2 linked regions of the Danio rerio genome follow. The protein of the gene in region 2 interacts with the protein of the main gene of each other region in a biochemical or structural test. Links are inferred from orthologs where the notes say so. Each region holds a gene or a part of one and is shown on either strand. Other genes may lie near its edges. The genes, in order: crhr1 and gopc.

The links.
Region 1: the proteins of gopc (region 2) and crhr1 form a complex in vitro, tested with the Homo sapiens proteins (2 studies listed by BioGRID and IntAct, with this or other methods). The link is inferred for Danio rerio from reciprocal best matches to the Homo sapiens genes GOPC and CRHR1.

The regions. Positions count from the first base shown.
Region 1 is NC_133178.1:20,403,573-20,407,833, reverse strand, and holds the start of crhr1 (corticotropin-releasing factor receptor 1), read right to left. Parts: upstream 3,122-4,261; 5' UTR 2,268-3,121; coding exon 2,244-2,267; intron 1-2,243.
Region 2 is NC_133195.1:45,573,819-45,578,210, reverse strand, and holds the end of gopc (Golgi-associated PDZ and coiled-coil motif-containing protein), read right to left. Parts: intron 4,233-4,392; coding exon 4,058-4,232; intron 1,364-4,057; coding exon 1,245-1,363; 3' UTR 627-1,244; downstream 1-626.

The sequences.
Region 1 (4,261 bases), on a different chromosome or scaffold from region 2:
CATAAAGATATTTAGTTAACATATCAGTTTTTACCAATTTAAGTGGATTGAACAAAAACCAATTAAGTTTTCCCCAAACACACTCAAGAAATCAGTTGTTTTATTTTAAATAAATTATGTGAACAAACAGCGTACTTTATTTTTTTGAGTGTACTTTATTTCCTGAACAATCCCTGCTTGATATCTTTTATGGCATGTGTAATGTCAGACGACGATGTAACTTTTTGAACAATCACTAGTTACTGCGTTTAATTACATGTGTGATGTCATTGAGAAGGAGGGACAAGCAATTGTTTTCCTGAAACTAGAGCATAAGCACACAATGTCTCCATTGGAAAGCCACCAGAAATAAAAGAAAGTGAACAACAGTAAGTGCGCATATAACTTCATCAGTCTTTCATTTTGTCATCTTGAAGAACTGAAGAATTTCTCCTTTTGGTCATTGTCACATATAAGACAAAACCCTGTCTTTATTAATTAAAATAATTAAATAAAAAAATGTTAATAAAATCAAAGGATGCAGGCACAGCGCTGATTATCATCCACTGGGAAATTACTGTATATAAGATTAAATTATGAAAAATTACCATTGTTGTTTATAAAGCACCACAACACCCAGATGGATTGTGGCAAAATTTAATTGATGTTGTCTAAACCAGGAATGAATCATTCTTTCAGTTTAAGGAGTAAAAAGCAGATATCGCTTTACTTAAATACCCAGCCAGATCACAGCAAGCTCACCAATGTGCTGATGCAACGCAAAGATGAATATAAGTCAATTAGTGCTTGTATGAATTCCTAATTGCTTTTCTGCACCTCTGCCAGCCACGTGGGACGTTTCACAACTCTGGAAAAGCTGCAAAGCAAAAATCACATTACCGTGTCTTTACTCAGTCAGTATTTCTAAACTTTCATAAAATCAATCATCACTCAAATGGTTTTTCGGAGGAAAACACTCTCTGCTCCAGCTGTCCACAGTGCTGAAAGTGATAAAATGCACATTAATGGTAGCGGAAAGCTTGTATGTTTTGACTGTCAGAGTTTCAGCGCATTACTTCATAATGGTGCCAGACTGGGCCACGGTCCAGAGCAGAGACTGATAAACTCGCTGCATCCTATTTGAGGCTAAAAATAACAGCTCTGTTCCTCTTTACCTTTAAGTGATGTCATTTCGCATTATTTCGAATCTATGATATGCTTGTGATGCTGTGCCAAGCTTCTATTATAAGCTGAAATTGACATTCTTTAAAGAATGTCTTGCAGCTCAGCTGAGGACTGGCAGGGGATTGTGTCCTGTCCCTGCTTGTATTTACTGTCTACAGAATTCAATAGCACACCCACACACTGCTGAGTCACATTGGCAATGATCTCCCTCGTGGAAGGATTGTCATTAATTACCTCCACAGCTTCCCTTAAAATCTCAGTGTCAGGCAATAGTTTAATGACACCCATTAAGTGCTACTCTGCGATAAAAAAAAAAAAAAGTGAAAGAAAAAGCACAGTAAAACTAGAACAAAAACAGCTTTTTAATATACTGTCACTTTCAATAGAAGAAATTAATTAAATTCCAAACACATTTGGAAATGTTTTAACGACAAAAAAGTTTTTGAATATCTGGTTCAACTTCCAGGAACAAAATGCTTTGCAGTCACTTATGATATTCACAGCTGCATATATTATTTAGACTGTAAGTATACCAATATACTTAAAGCATTAAATCTTTTTGTTTACAAGATGCTAGCACCAAACCCAGGTGTTGGGTGATACAATGGAAAAGTAACACGATGTGCTGAATAAAAACTAACCTCTATTCTATAGTAACTGTCAACAACAAAGTGACAGAGCACAGGGTTACTCACACAATACAAAACACACTATTAAAGAATATTGCTACAAATACTAAAGACACAACAAAAACCGGAACGCACAACTATTAACAATTTAACTTTTTAAATGAGACCAAAACACACTGGCACTTTGCACTTAAGGTTCTAGGAACTCTACTTAACAATAAACATGATTTTAATAATAATGATGTACATGTTTATGTTCTTCTCCCATAATTTCAATAGTTTTACAACACAATGCGGTCTTCTACCATTTTTACACCATAGCTAGTTAACTAATAAGCATATTAAAGTTAACCAATTAAATGTTCTTGAGTTTTAGTTCTTGTAGCTTTTATAACAAACAACATGTTTCCAGTAAAGCTAAAACACGCTTTGATGGGATAATAGTCGTACCTGTGGATGGAGGATGCGACTCATTGCTCCAGTGTGTTTTTCTGCAGAAACCTTCAAACAGCAGAGCGCTCTCGTGCTCCAGATGCAGCTGTCCGGATGCTCTGCTCCGGGGTGACAGACCTCTGCTCGAAAAACAATAGATTTGCACCCCGAGGATGATCAGTGCAGCATTTACAACTGGAAATCAGCAGGGCGAATTATGCGCGCATTTGAATCGCTGCCTCATTTTCACCCACTTCCAGAGGAGTTATTATTAATATAAGCGACATATCCTTGTGTTTCGGGGTATTCGGTGGACACTTAATCCTCAATAAACAATCTTCTGTCGAGTTTGACTACTTAAGGTCCTGGGAGGCAGGTGTAAAGCGCTTCAATCACGACACCAATCACGCCCGACACCCAGTCAGTGTTTCCAGATATGATAAGCGTCTCGACCTGCTCCCCTGCGGCTGGAACTGAACTTTTCCAAAAGTACTACCACAATTTTAATCTCGTTTACAAAATTATCCGTTCCTTGTTAACACGGCGGATCCTCTTCACGTTGCGTCCTCGCACTGACTGACCCTCTGTTTGAGTCCCATCGGTCAACGGTAAAGCGTTCACACGAAGCCCTACATGACAGCGAGGAGGCGTCACTGCGCGCGGATAAAAGGAACAGACGCTGAGATTTTGCGCGCGTGCGGGTAAAATGTAGTCCGAGAGAAAATGTGACAACTGTAAGAAGTCTAGCTGACGCGCGAGCGGAGTTCGCCGGTGCAAACTAATCCGTGCCGTTCCCACGCGGGCTGCGCGTCTTTAACCAAACCGGCGGTTCACTGTTTAGCGCGCGCGCTCCGCAGCGGCATGAGACTCAACACCGAGCAGCCTTCATAATGAGTGAATTCCATTCGAAAGTGAGCATCACTACACCCTGTTCAGTCTGAAAGGGGGAGCACTCGAAGAGAGTAGACTCTGAAGGGAACAGGGCGCATTTGAAACACATGGATATGTGTCTACGTCACTGGCACTTATTTTCATCCTAAAGTTATGATGTGAAATCAACATTTTGATGCCGTAATGTTTGCGTAAAAGATTTGTCCTTAAGGTAATTTGCAATGGTGTACGCTGATTTTTTTTCTTTTTTTTTTACAGATTTAAAAGTTTTGTTTTGTAACTATTTGGGTTGCATGAGATTAAAAAAGTGTTTGAATAAAGAAAATGCCATGAAGTAAGTTTGAATTAGCACATTGATTACAGTCAATGCATTATAGATGCACTGATTGAGTTGCATAACCCCTCATTCACTGTGTCTTAAGCGAATGGGTTGTCATGCAGAGATAAAACATAATATCAAATCTTTAATATGAAGTTTCATCTGAAGGTTTTCTAAAATGTTTGAATGAGAGGTGACAGGATATGCCAATTTGTCTCAATAATAGGTGCCTCCAGTATGAAAGAGAGCCATTATCTACAGTGGTGGGGTTTTGTCTCATTTATGGACAGTGCATTCAACATGAACATTCACACTTTTGTATGGCTTTGGAGAATGCGATCTGTTTGTCAGTATGCAAAGCAAAAGTATGTTATTTAGCATAAGTGTAATTTAGAAAAAAATTGTCATCCCATTTCCCCAGGGCGAAAAGTGCTTATTTTGGCTTTATACTTTATGCAACGCTAGGGAATCATATAATCCTTTAGCTCTTTTTATCTCTCGATCCATCCAGCTCTCCGTCTAATGATCCTTCTAGTGCAAAGAAATTCTGGACAGTTTTGTCTAAACAATATAGCATCAATTAGGTTTGTTACATACTTTTTTTTTCACTAAAACATATATGTATACACACACACACACTACATCTTAAACTCATGGTGAACTTTAGTTTTCAGTATTGTTGTTACCACTCTTATGTAAAGCTGACAGCACAGCAAATCCTCCACATGTATTTCCAGACACTGTCCCCTTTTTAGATTTAAATTTGTTTTCAGGGTCAGGAATCGCAGCAAGTCCAAGACAGAGGTGTCGAAAAGAACAACTGGCT
Region 2 (4,392 bases):
ACTAGATGGACGTGCACAATGAGTTCATGAGTAGTTAAGAATGGGTTAATCATGATGTGCCTCTCCAAGAAAAGTCAGGACATAGTTCATGATGGTTAAATTAGGCATAAACTAATGTGGTAAAAATACATTAATTAACAAACAATCATGCATTAACAAGTAATTACAGTAGCGGTTATTCACACATGAACTCATGTGACTCATGTTGTAGTTAAAGTAAGTCAACGATTAACACGCATTATGAATAATGAAGTAATGTTTAGTTTATATATTAATACATCATTATTCATGTACTGTTATTGTCAAGTGTTACCAATTTAGTCATGTCAAGACTCCTGCAATGAATAAATAATACCTAAAACACATACAATTGGAGGTTTATATATATATATATATATATATATATATATATATATATATATATATATATATATATATATATATATATATATATATATATATATATATATATATATATATATAACATAAATTATTTTTAGTAAATATAATAACATTCTTCAGTTTAAAATACGTCCAAGACATCACTTCATTGAGATCCACCCTAAAACTCGTCCTCAATCAGCTAAATTGAACCTGAAAGTGTGTTGTTGAATAAAGAAAGCAAGCCAATGAAAGCACATGTGGATGTGCACGTTTAATACAACACACTCGTTTCTGTCCCCGTCACCTACTGACCACCCGGTGTGCAAAACAGGAAGTAAAATCATCCTGTTTGCCTTCGCTTTAGATCAGAAGACAAACAAGCAGGATCGACTCACGATCAAGAGGTTAGAAACATATGTTCACACACAAACACACACACACACACACACACACACACACACACACACATTCTGAGCAAACAGTAACTCGATTCTATATCCATCTACTTCAGTACAGTGTGAAAGTTTGAGCTCATCTATGGAAGATACACAGAAGGATCCAACATTGTTATACCATAAACTCGATTTACTCGCTCTCCAACGCAGATGGTCATTTTGTGTCCCTTTATATAACCCAAAATGATGACAAATATTAGCAAAAAATAATAATAATCCACCGAGTGCCATCATGTCCTCTTCTCTCAGTGTTTCTCAGTGGTTCCTCAATCTCCAGTGGACGTAAAAGCAGACTGTTCTCCATATGCAATAAAACCAAGAATCTCCTATATGTTACATATTATACATGTTCAGTCTTCATCTCTTACTGATGTCTGCCGTTTTCTTCTGGGGGTTTTTCAGTGTCTAGGATGAGCTCTCTGCAGACTCTGCTGTTTTGGAGGTTTTGTCGTCTGAAGGGCATTCGCTGGACAAGCCCACGTCTCCGTTCTCTGTTCTGTTGTTCACTAAGTGCTTCCCTACAGCTGGAAGGATACAAAAAAAAAAAAAGCGGACAGTAAGGTTTTACATTTTTTTTAAATGATTACTTTAACAGACCATGGCTGTTTCTCAATATGCATTGTGTTCTCATATAAAGTCATCATCAATCCACATAGTTCAGTTCTAAAAAACTTAAGAACGGAGGATGTGTGAAAGAACCCGGATGTGTTTTGGATATCAAGGACCCATTGATGCAGACTTGATCGTAGAACTCGCTCGAGAAGTCTCAGAACTCATTGTGGCTGAATAAGTGAAGTTTATTTATAAACTAATTTCGAGAGGATCATGTGCTTATGATTGCATGCGGCTGGTCCTGCATTATCCAATTTATGATTCACCAATCAGACGATTCCTAAGCCTCTATAATCACTCTAAGTTCCATATAACAGCCATCTTTGTTTTGAAGAAACCCCCTTCCACCCCTACTCCTCCTCCTTTCCTAGACACGGTGGCCCAGTGGTTAGCACTGTTGCCTCACAGCAAGAACGTCACTGGTTCTAGTCCTTACCATGCCAGCTAACGTTTCTGTGCCGAGTTTACACCTTGTCCCCGAGCTCACGTGGGTTTCTCCAAGGTGCCCGGTTTCCTCCCACAGTCCAAAAACATGCAACTTAAGTTAATTGACTACTCCAAATCAGCACCTTAGACATGCTGCTAGTAAGTAGTTATCTCTTAAGAGCAAACACTATCTGTTCATTAGCATCTACAGCAGAAGAGTTCTCGAGATCTACCTGAGCTCAAACTAACCTCTCGCCTTGCAAACAGGAGTGAACCCTGGACTCGAGGATCTTATGAGCTCAGGGCTCTCTCCCGGGACAGCAAGTCAAACAAGCTTTATAAACAATCATCAACTAAGTGTGAACTCTTGAAAGGAGATAAGAAGTACAGCATTTCATATCTGTTTATTATTATAGTGCAGAGACATAACTTCCCTATATGAGATGGTGAAAGTAAACTTTAACATGAAAATCTTAATAAAGACAAACACATTAAGGGTGTTTATTTGCTGAAATTCGTACTAAAATATGTTTCATTTGTGTTAAAAAAAATCTAATTGTGTATTAAAAGCATCGTCAATGAACCATGATGCACCAAGATATCGAATTGAACTGAATCGATGGCATGATACGGTGGCCAGGAAGTGCAAAACTACATTACAAAGTGTGAAACACTTATACAAAGCTCGAGACAAATTTACATTTTAAAATTTTTTTTACCTATCATCAGACACATTTATATGTGTGTCACTTCCAGTGTGTGGTACATTACCTTTCCATAAGGAATCTGTAATTGTAAATTAGTTTCGGGACTTGTAAAAGTGTTTTTTCGTCTTGTTCATTTTTTTTAAAAAAATGTTAATTTATTTCGTCCTTGGTAAAATAGTTTTTCCTATGTAATTGTGTCTGATGATAGGTAAAATGTTTTTCAAAATGTAAATTTGTCTTGAGCTTTGTAAAAGTGTTTTACAATTTGTAATGTTGTTTTACACTTCCCGGCCACCGTAGCATGATAATCTTAACCGGACCGTGAGACCAGTGTAGGTTCACACCCCTAGCAGCAGCACTCCGGGCGTCCCGAGTTTGAATTCCAGCTCGAGGAACTTTCCCGAAATATATATATATATATATATATATATATATATATATATATATATATATATATATATATATATATATAAAAATATATATATATATATATATATATATATATATATATATATATATATATATATATAGATAGATAGATAGATAGATAGATAGATAGATAGATAGATGGATAGATAGATATCTATATGTCTGTCTATCAGTCTTTCCAATCTGTCTTTCATCCATCCATCTATATTCAAACTGCTTTCATCTATCTATCTATCTTTTTCAAACTGCTTTAATCTATCCATCTATCCATCCGTCCGTCTGTCCATCCATCCATCCATCCATCCATCCATCCATCCATCTCTCTCTCTCTCTCTCTCTCACTTCACTTTCTGTCAACATACTGTCCTGTCAAATAAAGGCAAAATAAATATTAAAAAAAAAAGAATGCTGTAATGTTTAAATAATTTTCGTGAAATAATTTAGATAAAATTCGTGAAGGTCATGTGACCATCTGGAAGAACGCAACATCTCATTTCTCAGAGGATACGTCCTGTGCTAGACCGAGGTAACTTGACAAGACCACTCTCCATAAGAATGCGAGTCCATTCTCTGTGTTCTTGGAAGCCATTGATTGGTTGAGCTATAAGCTAAAAGAAAAGCAAATGTTGTTCAGTGTGGTGTCAGGAACGCAATTCAAGCAAAGAAATTGGTCAAATAAAATAAAAATGTCTATTTCTTAGACTGACGGTAAAAGGGCTATTTACTAAGCTGTTCATTTTGGTGGTTAACAGCTTGCGTGGATTTACTCTGTACTCACTATTTACTTTCCCTCAAGTTGTTCCAAACCACTTTTTCTTTATTCTGTTGAACACAAAAGAAGATATTTTGTAGAAAGCTAAAAACCTGTGACTTCCATAGTAGGAAATACAAATAGTATGGAGGTCAATGGTTACATGTTTATCTTAAAATATCTTCTTTTGTGTTCATAAAAAAAAAATAAAGACAAACATGTCAAGGGTGAGTAAATGATGATATAAATGTAATTTTTTTGGACGAACTACCCCTTCAATTCAGTGTACTTGCCTTGTAGGGAGGCGGGGTCAGCAGTGCCATTGTTGTGATTGGCTGCTGATGCCTCTTCCAGCTCGTCCAGGTACAGACGGTAGCGGTGCCCGCTGTCGTCTTCATACTCCACATTCTCATCATCTGAGTCCACTTCTGGAGCCACATAAACCACCTCAAACTCAATTTCTCCCCTCTGAAGAGAGAAAAACACAACTGCGTTAGTTTCTCGAAGTGTCAGTGTATGTATGCAAATCAATTCTTTTTATTATTTCAGGTAAATATAACCTTTGGTTGTTCACACAGTAATCATATGACTTAAATTTGGAATTAACCGAATGATTGATTTGATCCAC